Linked DNA regions of Drosophila melanogaster. The protein of the gene in region 1 purifies or fractionates together with the protein of each later gene. This does not show direct contact. Each region holds a gene or a part of one and is shown on either strand. Other genes may lie near its edges. The genes, in order: REPTOR and raptor.

What was found.
Region 2: the proteins of REPTOR (region 1) and raptor purify together in Drosophila melanogaster (affinity purification with western blotting, with the first as the bait; one study listed by BioGRID). This does not show direct contact.

What each region holds. Positions count from the first base shown.
Region 1 is NT_033777.3:24,579,557-24,584,440, reverse strand, and holds the start of REPTOR (repressed by TOR), read left to right. Parts: upstream 1-1,576; 5' UTR 1,577-1,728; intron 1,729-4,884. Other genes in the region: CG13625 (uncharacterized protein), read left to right, coding at 1-1,304.
Region 2 is NC_004354.4:6,087,004-6,091,893, reverse strand, and holds the start of raptor (raptor), read left to right. Parts: upstream 1-1,692; 5' UTR 1,693-2,187; coding exon 2,188-3,622; intron 3,623-3,680; coding exon 3,681-4,890. Other genes in the region: Mipp2 (multiple inositol polyphosphate phosphatase 2), read left to right, coding at 600-777, 1,052-1,485.

The DNA.
Region 1 (4,884 bases):
CCAGGAATGGCAATCAATCGCCAGTCAGAAAAAGGCGGGATTCCGACCAAAGTCCGCCAAGAAAACGAACGGGAAAAGCATCACCCACTCGAAGGAGAAGGGATTCCGATCAATCGCCACCCAGACGCCGCAGAAGTAACTCCGATCAGAGTCCGCCAAGGCGACGTAGAGACAAGGATTCAACTCCGCCCAGAAGGAGGAAAGATTCCGATCAAAGCCCACCTCGAAGGCGTAAAGCAGACGATCAATCTCCGGTGCGAAGGGAAAGGAAAGACTCCGACCAAAGTCCGCCTAGGAAACGGAGAGACAATGACCAGTCTCCAGTGCGAAGGAGGCGGGATTCAGATCAAAGCCCGCCCCGAAGACGCAGAGATGACAAGCAAACGCCGCCAAGGAGGAGAAGAAACTCCGATCAAAGCCCGCCAAGAAGACCCAAGGATGTAGATCAATCGCCACCGCGAAGAAAACGAGACTTCGACCAAAGTCCAACCAGAAAACGAGACAAATCACCACGCAGACGTCACGACTCCGACCAAAGCCCGGCCAGAAATCACAGAAGTCGAGAGCGCAGTCCACCGCCTCGTAATCGCTTCAAGGAAGAAAGGAAAAGTCGCTGGGCCAAGGCATCGCCCAGCAAATCAGCATCTCCACCTCCGACACACAAGCCGAAATCCACCAAGACACTAGATGGCAAGAAAGCTGGACTGCAGGATGCGAAATCGCTGAAGAAGGAAACCGACGAAAGGCGTCGACAAGAACATGAACTATTCGAGAAAATGTCCAGCGAAATTTCCGGTCGTGATGGCGATGTGCAGGTGCGCAGTACTCGCAGAAAGGGACACCGAGCACGAGATGCCGCCAATGAGGATCCCGCCGAGCAGGGCCGCAAAGAGGAGCACGAGAAAAAGAAGAAGGAACTGTACGATCGCTGGGGCAAGGGGTTGAAGCAAATAGAAGATCACAAGTCCCGCCTGGAGGAGATGGTCCATGAGGCCTCCAAACCGGTGGCTCGCTATGCCAACGACGAGGATCTGGACAGGCATCTGCGCGAACAGGAGCACGCCGACGACCCGATGCTGGAGTACATGCGCCAGAAGCGCAAGAAACGCGACCAGCAGGACAACAAGCCGGTGATGCCCAAGTACGAGGGCAGCTTTCCGGAGAACCGATTTGGCATCCGACCAGGATATCGCTGGGATGGCGTCGATCGATCCAACGGCTACGAGCAGCGTTGGTTCGACAAACAGAACGAACGGCGGGCCGTGCAGGATGAGGCCTACAAGTACAGCGTGGAGGATATGTGAATGTTGCAAGCGTTGTTTGCTTTCGTGTTGCAATAAAGATGTAGGCACTGCCTGTAAAAAAGAAAAGAGCAATTACATTGATCGTTTTCTTTGTTTTATTGAATTATTTTGGAAAATAAAGAATGTAAATAGGTAATATAATATTTAATATTTATTTACAAAAATTTGATTTTCGAAATGCCCGCCACTTTCCCGCCAAATCGACGTGCCACCTGCAACACTGGTCGCCAGCGCAATGCAACCCTGTGTGTAGAATAGCGGAGCAAAAGCGAATGGTAAATAGTCTTCATCTACACCTGCGACCTGCTCGTCGCTCCCAAAAAATCGTTTCAAAACCACGGAATAAACCGTGTAACTGGGGAAAACCCATTGTAATTATCAAGTTTAAAGTGTGCCGCACATTTTGGCTTCAAAACCAGAATAGGTAAGTGACATCATCTGCTAAATAGAAGCATTCTAAGATTTTTGCTTTGTAAGCAATAGAGTATCGATGTGTGTGTGTGTATGTAAATGGTTCTGCTTTTGGTTGCTTTGTTGCTGCTTTCGTTACAGCGAACAAAGCGTAAGCAACTGTATATGTGTATCGAGTGGGACGCCAGTGGTGTGTGTTTGTTGCCCCGCCCCCAATAATTAGCATAAAACTCTCTTAACCACAACAAAAACACCACAGTCGTGTTGGTTTGTGCATTTGTGGATTGGGATTTCGGTGGTTTTCCTTTTTTTTTCAGCTGCTTTGCCTGCCCTTCGCCTTCAGCCGCAATTGTCGGTCAGCCGATGAAAAACCAGTTTGTTTGTTTGTTGGCTTGTAGCTGCTGCTGCTGCGGCTGATTGTTGTGATTTTGTTGTTGCTGCTGGTGCTGCTGCACTGCAATTTGCTTGGCGCAAAATTGGCGCCAAAAGCTTTTCAGCTGCAGAAACGTGTGGAAATGTTGAAATGTGTACGTACCATTCCAATCAGGCATTTGGCGCATGCACGCGCCTGTCGCTCGCTGCAGCTTCCATCTCGCTCGCTCGCGGCGGGATGCAAATACCGCAATCAGCTTTCGTTCTATCTCTTTCCCGTTGACACACATACACACTTCCGCACATCGCATTCATTCATGACACTGCTATTTACTCCCCCTCTCTCTCCCCTGCCCCTCTACGTTCTTCTTTTCGATTCCTTGTGTGCCATTTCGTGGTCTGCTTTTATTTCGCTTCATTTTGAATTAATTGCACTTCGTTAGATTATTATTTTTGCACTCTAACAAAGAGCCGTTCGTTTGGATGTTACTTTGTGTGCAAATGAAGATTTAGCCAATTTACACAATCGTAAATTTAATTTGCGTTAGTGTATGTAAATCCATAATTTTCAGTTTCTATTTCCTTTTAGCAATCAAGTGCTAATTTGATCAATTATGCGCCTTTGATAAATAAATAAATAATGCAGTAAATTTATTTGTTTGATATTCTCTTTAATGTTGTAATTGTGCACTTTTCATACATATTATACTCCTTTGTTCTTAAAAATGCATAAAGTGAAGGTGGTTTTAAATTATGCTATAGACTTTGATTTTTTTAAAAGGTATTGACTAATTGAGTTTTTTAAACTTCAAGTTTACTCATTTTAAATGCATGAAAAACAGTTCTTTATAAGTTTAACTAGTTTTTAGTTATTTGTTGTTAACGGCAGATATTACACGCAATGGACATCGCAAAGATGCTAATTCTTTATTTCCCTAAGATAAGGGTAAAAATATCAAATATCTGTTTCTGAAAGTTTGCCTATTTTGCTTTTGAGCATGAAAACTTTCTTCAACTTTTCTTGGGCACTTTGTGTTTTTGAATGTTCTTTGCATCAGACAGGCTAAGATCAGTGCTTGGCCTTCTTCGACACATGGCCCTCTTAACCCCCCCAAAAAAAGGGGGAGAACCATAAACTGATGGCGCAGACACCCCAAGGAAACCTTCGCTGGTCCAAAAGCAACCCCCAGAGCAAGCTCAACCCTTGTCCTTGGCCCTTCCTTGTGCATTTCCTTGGCTTTTTCCTCGCGAATGGGGTGCTTCCAAGGACCCAGTGACATGACATTGTAATGGCTTAGAAATTTACACGCATCCCATGCTGAGTACGTGTGTTCCAAGCACCCCTTACAATCCACAGATTGATCCTCCCCCTTGGTCTTTGCTCGGAAATTGAGGGGTTGGTTTGTGTCATGCACTGTCAAAAATATTTATTAAATTACCAATATCTGAAACTCTAAATAAATTTCCCAATAGATGTAAAATCAGCACAAGAAATTTGCTATTTTCAAACGCCTTTTTTATCATAACTTGGCTAAAAATGTACTCACATTACAACATTTGATAGTTTTGTGCAGCTTATTATCCCAACTAACGATCTATATCACTTTTTTGTTCATATTTGGAATTTCAAAATTTTATGAATTTTGGATTTTTTGCAAGGGGTAACATCATAAAATTTTGAAAAAAATTTAACAAAAAAAAAAATTTTCAAATTTAAATGCCAATTGATTTAGAATTTTATAACGAGTTTTTTGAGATATGGCATTCCATATTGTGGCTGTTTTTTATAAAATTATGACGAAAAAACGAACTATTATGTGCGGAAAATTAGGCTAAAAAATTATTGCAAAATTTCATATTTACGAATACCACAAATATTGACTATTTGATTTTGATATATTTGAAATATTATTTATTACTGTTTATGTATGTACCAAATTGTTTGCAGTGTAGAATTTTGGCACAGTGATTCGGGTTCTTTAAAGCGTTTTTTAATTCCTTCACATGCTGGAACAACATAGGGCAAAGTTATTCAAATTCCTTTTGTTCGAAATCCTGTTGAATGGCAAAGGGAATTTCAATTCGGTTGATTCGATGGAATTTCCTCGGCACCACGTGTTCCGATCCTGGGATTTCCAATGACTCATACGCTTGGGGTTGTTGCTAGGGAAGCTTCTGAGTGGAGGAACTTCAGTTGGAATTGCCTTCTCGATCCTGGAACTTCCAATCAGTTTCTTTAATGGGAAAACTAGCGTATACTAATTCCTTAATTATTACTTTACCGACTTCAAGCTGCTGGAGGAATAGGAAGAGGGAAAGTCTAGGGGACTTACACCCCGCTAGGCCAACAAATAACTAGAGGAAAACAATGGAATTTTCATAATTTTCCTGGTCCATCTGGTTTTTCCCCCCTGCTTTGTGAACCTTATCCTCTTAGAACAATGCTGTGTAAAAGCGCCCCGCTGGAAAAACTAGTTTCTCCGCTTTCTTTCGATCGGAAAACAGAAGGCGAATGCCTTGTAACCAGTTTCTGCTAATTTGTGCACACGTGCAAATCCTTGGACAAAGGATCCATTGATAGAAACTCGTTCCAGCCCCCCGCCCGAGGCGAAAAGAAAAAAAAGGAAAGTGTTGGGTTCAAAACGCCGCCGGCCACTGACACAGGAAATTAAGGTTAATTCATCAAATTTTCGAAAAAGTTTTCTTCAAGAGACGGTCCGGATGGAAAATGCACTTTTCTTGGATCATTTGTCACTCGCATAATTAGATGCTTGTTATGACATCGCTGGGTTCAAAG
Region 2 (4,890 bases), on another chromosome or scaffold:
AACGAATTCAGGGGTGTTAATTATTTATTGCAATTTTAAGTTGTGTGTAAGTTTCTCGTTTTATTCTTGGACAGGATATTCAAAATGCTTCCCTTGCCAACGCTTATTCCTTTTGCGTGTTTGGCGTGCGACTAAACCATTTTTTAATCGCTTAGTTTGCCGGGCCGGTTAAAACAGAGCTTTTTGAGGCAGAAAGCTCGATTGGGCGAAGTGAACACTTGTTGAGTGGCAATGCGCTGATTTAGGCACCTGCAAATCTAACTAAATTTATTATAAAATAGTGTTAATAAAGCTTCCTGAAATGAGTAATCAACCAAGCACTTACAACTGATGCCATCGAAGATGCTATTTAAAAATACCGCCAACTGGCGGTGGAAACGGGTTTTTTTTGGCTGCCCCATGTGTTAGGGCTGCCAGCTGAGCTGATAGCCTTGCCACCTTGCGCGACTAGCACACTTGTCAATTTGTTTTTCTTTCGTGTTTATTATTTCCTAGATTTCTTTTGAGCTGGCATTTCGTTCTGTTTTTCACGTTTTAACCCCGTTTTTCGGTAAACCTCGTTTCTAATCTCGTGACAAGTTTTTCCACCGCCCGGAAAGATGCTAAGCCAATTTTACTGCTTGTTTTTGTTGCTCCTCCACTTCTTCGTGGGCGTGACGTTGTCTGAAGAGGGGGAGTGCCGCCGCCTTAATCGCGCAGATATCGAGGGCAGACTGTCCACAAAGACGCCCTACAGAGCGATCGCAAATTATGACGAAACGCCACCGAAATACGCCGGTTTGTATTTTTGTTGTTTTCTGTGTAACGCACCCACAGTAGGCACCCGCTTAGAAATACAAACATGTGTTGTGCCATGTGACAGTTAACAGCGCTCGCTTAATACAGTGAATTCATAATCATGAAAGCATATGGATTCTTTATTGATCATAAAACAGAGAATCGCTTTAGATTTGTTATTATACTATTACTAGTTTATTATTACCGATGCCTACTGCTAGCAAATGGCAATGGAACAGCTGATTTTTCTCTTTTAACCGTTTCACCCGACAAGGCTGCCATCCGACGCGAATTTGGACCATCATCCGACACGGAACTAGAAATCCTAGCGAATCCGTTATCCTTCAGGCGCAAAATCGACTATCAGAGATAAAGAAACGCATTCTGGATCAGACGAAGCCGCCGATCTGCACCGCTGAATTGGAAAAGCTGCGCCAATGGCACTGGATGCATCTGAATGCCACTGAAGATGAGAAATTACTGGTGGCCGAGGGTGAGGATGAGCTGATTGAGCTGGCGGAACGGATGCAGCGGCGATTTCCGGATCTACTTCCGGAGTTGTACAATCCGGAGTGGTACTACTTCAAGTATACTGCGACCCAGAGAACGCTGAAAAGTGCGGAAAGCTTCGCTACGGGTTTGTTCGGCCGTCATCGCATCCATACTGTACGATATCCGCCGCCTTTGCACGAGGATCCTGTTTTGCGGGTGAGCAGTCCTTTAGTTTTTTCTGTCAATGTAACCAAAACAAACTTTTGAATTACGCGCTACAAATGAGCTTGTAATGATCTGGCAACGCCATTCATTACAGCTAGGCCATTTCGCTGTTAGTTTATTATCGATATCAATGTTGTAAACCGCTTGCCAGCGTGCAATCGAAAAAATCATCGATTTTTGTTCCAGCTCTATTTTCTGCGCAATTCTTTTCGTATAATATAATTCGATTAAACATAAATAAATAAACCCAAGCGAAAGTAAATAAACCTGTTAATGCGCACCATCTTCCGTCGGAGATCGCTCGCTATAGTTGTACGGTTTTTATTTTGTCCCGGCATCGACCTAATCAGCCCAGGCGGCGTGTTTTCCCCGAGTTCTTTTTACCCGTTTTCGGGAAATGGTCCGCGATCCGTAGGCGGAAAACGTGGAGAAGAGGAACGTGGAAAGAAAAGCAGAAAAGCGCGGAGCGGAGCTGAGGAGGCGCTGGCGGTGGTGGAGGTGCGGAAAGTGCGAAAAGTGTTTGGGGTTATGTGCTAGAGTCCCCTCGGGGGGATTTTTAGCTGATTGAATCCGCGACCGAGACGTAATCGCTCCGGGAAATCGCTCGCATTGAGCTGCACCCTCTCCTCGGCAAACGGAAAAAGAAAAAAAGCAATACAGCGAGAAACGAGAGAAACAAAAAGCACGCAGAACATGACAAGTGCCGTTCGCGCTAAGTCCGCCGCTGCCGCAGTCGGCGTCGCAGTCGACGAAAGCAGCGGCAGCAGCAACGGCAGCGTCGCGGATCAAGAGGTGGCCTCCAGCAAGGAGGCCGTCCTGAGCGTCCTAATCCGCAAGAGATACGAGAAATATGTATTCGCCCCGTGGGACGATCCGATAATCTTGATAATGGAGCAACTGGAGCACATCGAGCACTGTCGATCCGCCGCCTTGGGGAACCAGGTGGCCATCGGCCGGGACCCATCTCAGGACGACTCTCTGAACGACCTGGGTAAGGTGATTAGCAACATGAGGCAGGACCAATCACTGGTACCAATCGTGAAGCACATCGAGCAAATATCCGACATTCAGGCCTCCAACGGCCAGGAACTGGCCTCCCTCGGTTCTTTGAGGGAGCTAATCCGGACTATCAGAAAGGAATGGCCCCGGGACGACTCTATCAAACTGCGGTTGAAGGAAATACAGATCCTGGGCATGCCGCCCGCTCGGAGCTTATGCTTCGGCGAGCGTATCCGCGACGACAGGTGCCCGCTCTCCCTGCAGACTAAAAGGCACAAGGAGCGCATCCAGGCCATGATGTACGAGAGACAGCCGTGGCGCATCCGCGAGCGCATGAAGACGGCAAGTGTGGCCCTGGTTCTGTGCCTCAACATCGGCGTGGATCCGCCGGACGTGGTCAAGATCCAACCCTGCTCACGGCTAGAGTGCTGGATAGATCCCAGCTCGGTGTCCCCGCCAAAGGCCATGGAACTCATTGGAAGCAACCTGCAGATGCAGTACGAACGCTGGCAGCCAAGGGCCCGGTACAAGAAGTGCAACGATCCCACCGTGGATGACGTTAAGAAGCTCTGCACCTCCCTACGCCGGAACGCCAAGGGGGAGCGCATACTCTTCCACTACAACGGACACGGAGTGCCCAAGCCCACAGCCAACGGGGAGATCTGGGTGTTCAACAAGACCTTCACGCAGTACATCCCCCTGAGCATATTCGAGCTTATCACTTGGATGTCAGCGCCCTCCATCTACGTGTATGACTGCTCCAACGCCGGGATCATCATCAATTCGTTTCAGCCATACGCTAAACAGCACGAGGAAGAACTAGGGAAGGCGCTGGCCGCCGCCCAGCAGAGGGGTGGTGTCCAACAGTTAGTGGGCGGCTCTGGTGGTGCCGCCAACGTAGCCGCCAACCAGGTGCAGTTAACCAACCAGATGGTCAGTTACAAGAACTGTATACACCTGGCTGCCTGTGCTGCAAACGAGATTCTTCCGATGAATGCACAGCTGCCGGCGGATCTTTTCACCAGCTGTCTGACAACACCCATTAACATAGCGCTCAAGTGGTACGCCATGCAAGAAAAGCTGGGCATGGTACCGCGTATTCAGAGCGAACTGATCGACAAGATTCCAGGTAAGGTTATACCTTTACTCACCCAGGGAATGCTGTTAACCATTAAATTCTATCGCAGGCAAGGTCAACGACCGGCGCACTATGATGGGTGAGCTTAACTGGATCTTCACCGCCATTACGGACACGATAGCATGGAACACACTTCCTCGCGAGCTCTTTCAGCGCCTGTTTCGCCAGGATCTGCTGGTGGCCAGCTTGTTCCGCAATTTCCTGTTGGCCGAGCGCATTCTGCGAAGCCACGACTGCACACCAGTTTCCCTGCCTGCCCTGCCGCCTTGTTATCGCCATCCGATGTGGAAGGCCTGGGATCTGGTGGTAGATTTGGCTCTACAGCAGCTGCCGGAGATTCTCGATCACAATGCGCCGTACCGCCAGCTGCCATTCTTCGAGCACCAGCTCACGGCCTTCCAGGTTTGGCTGGACAGCGAATCGGAGTCGAGAACGCCACCGGAACAGCTGCCCATTGTGCTGCAGGTCCTACTGTCGCAGGTGCACCGTCTGAGGGCCTTGGAGCTGCTGGCTCGCTTTCTGGATCTTGGTCCGTGGGCCGTTAATCTCGCCCTGGGCGTGGGCATCTTTCCATACGTGCTTAAACTGCTGCAGAGTTCTACGCGCGAACTGCGACCCGTTTTGGTGTTCATTTGGGCCAAGATCCTGGCCGTGGATCCCAGCTGCCAGGTGGATCTGGTCAAGGAATACAAGTACTTCCTCTCCGTGCTGCAGGACACCTCCGTTTCCAAGGAGCACCGTACACTGTCCGCCTTTGTATTGTCCTCCATAGTGCACAACTTCCTGCTGGGACAGACGAGCGCGCTTCAAGGTCCCCTACTGTCTATTTGCCTTGAGCAGTTGAACGACGGAAGTTGGCTGCTGCGCCAGTGGCTAGCCATCTGTCTGGGCATGCTGTGGCAGAACTTTGAGAAGGCGCGTTGGTCGGGAGCACGCGACCTGGCGCACGAGAAGCTGTACGTACTGCTGCGGGACTCGATACCGGAAGTGAGAGCCGCTGCCGTCTTCGCCTTAGGCACATTTATTAGCTCCGTGACGGATCGTAGCGAGGAACAGGCCAATAATATCGATCGCATCATTGCCATTACCATGCTCGAAACCGTCGGCGAGGATATGTCGCCGCTGGTCCGCATGGAGCTGGCCGCCGCCCTGCAATGGATGGTGGTGCTCTTCGAGTCACAGTTCGTGGCAGTATATCTAACTGAACACATGCGCGGTCACGTCTCCGCCGCCTCGTTCGTGATGTGCCCCGATCCCCG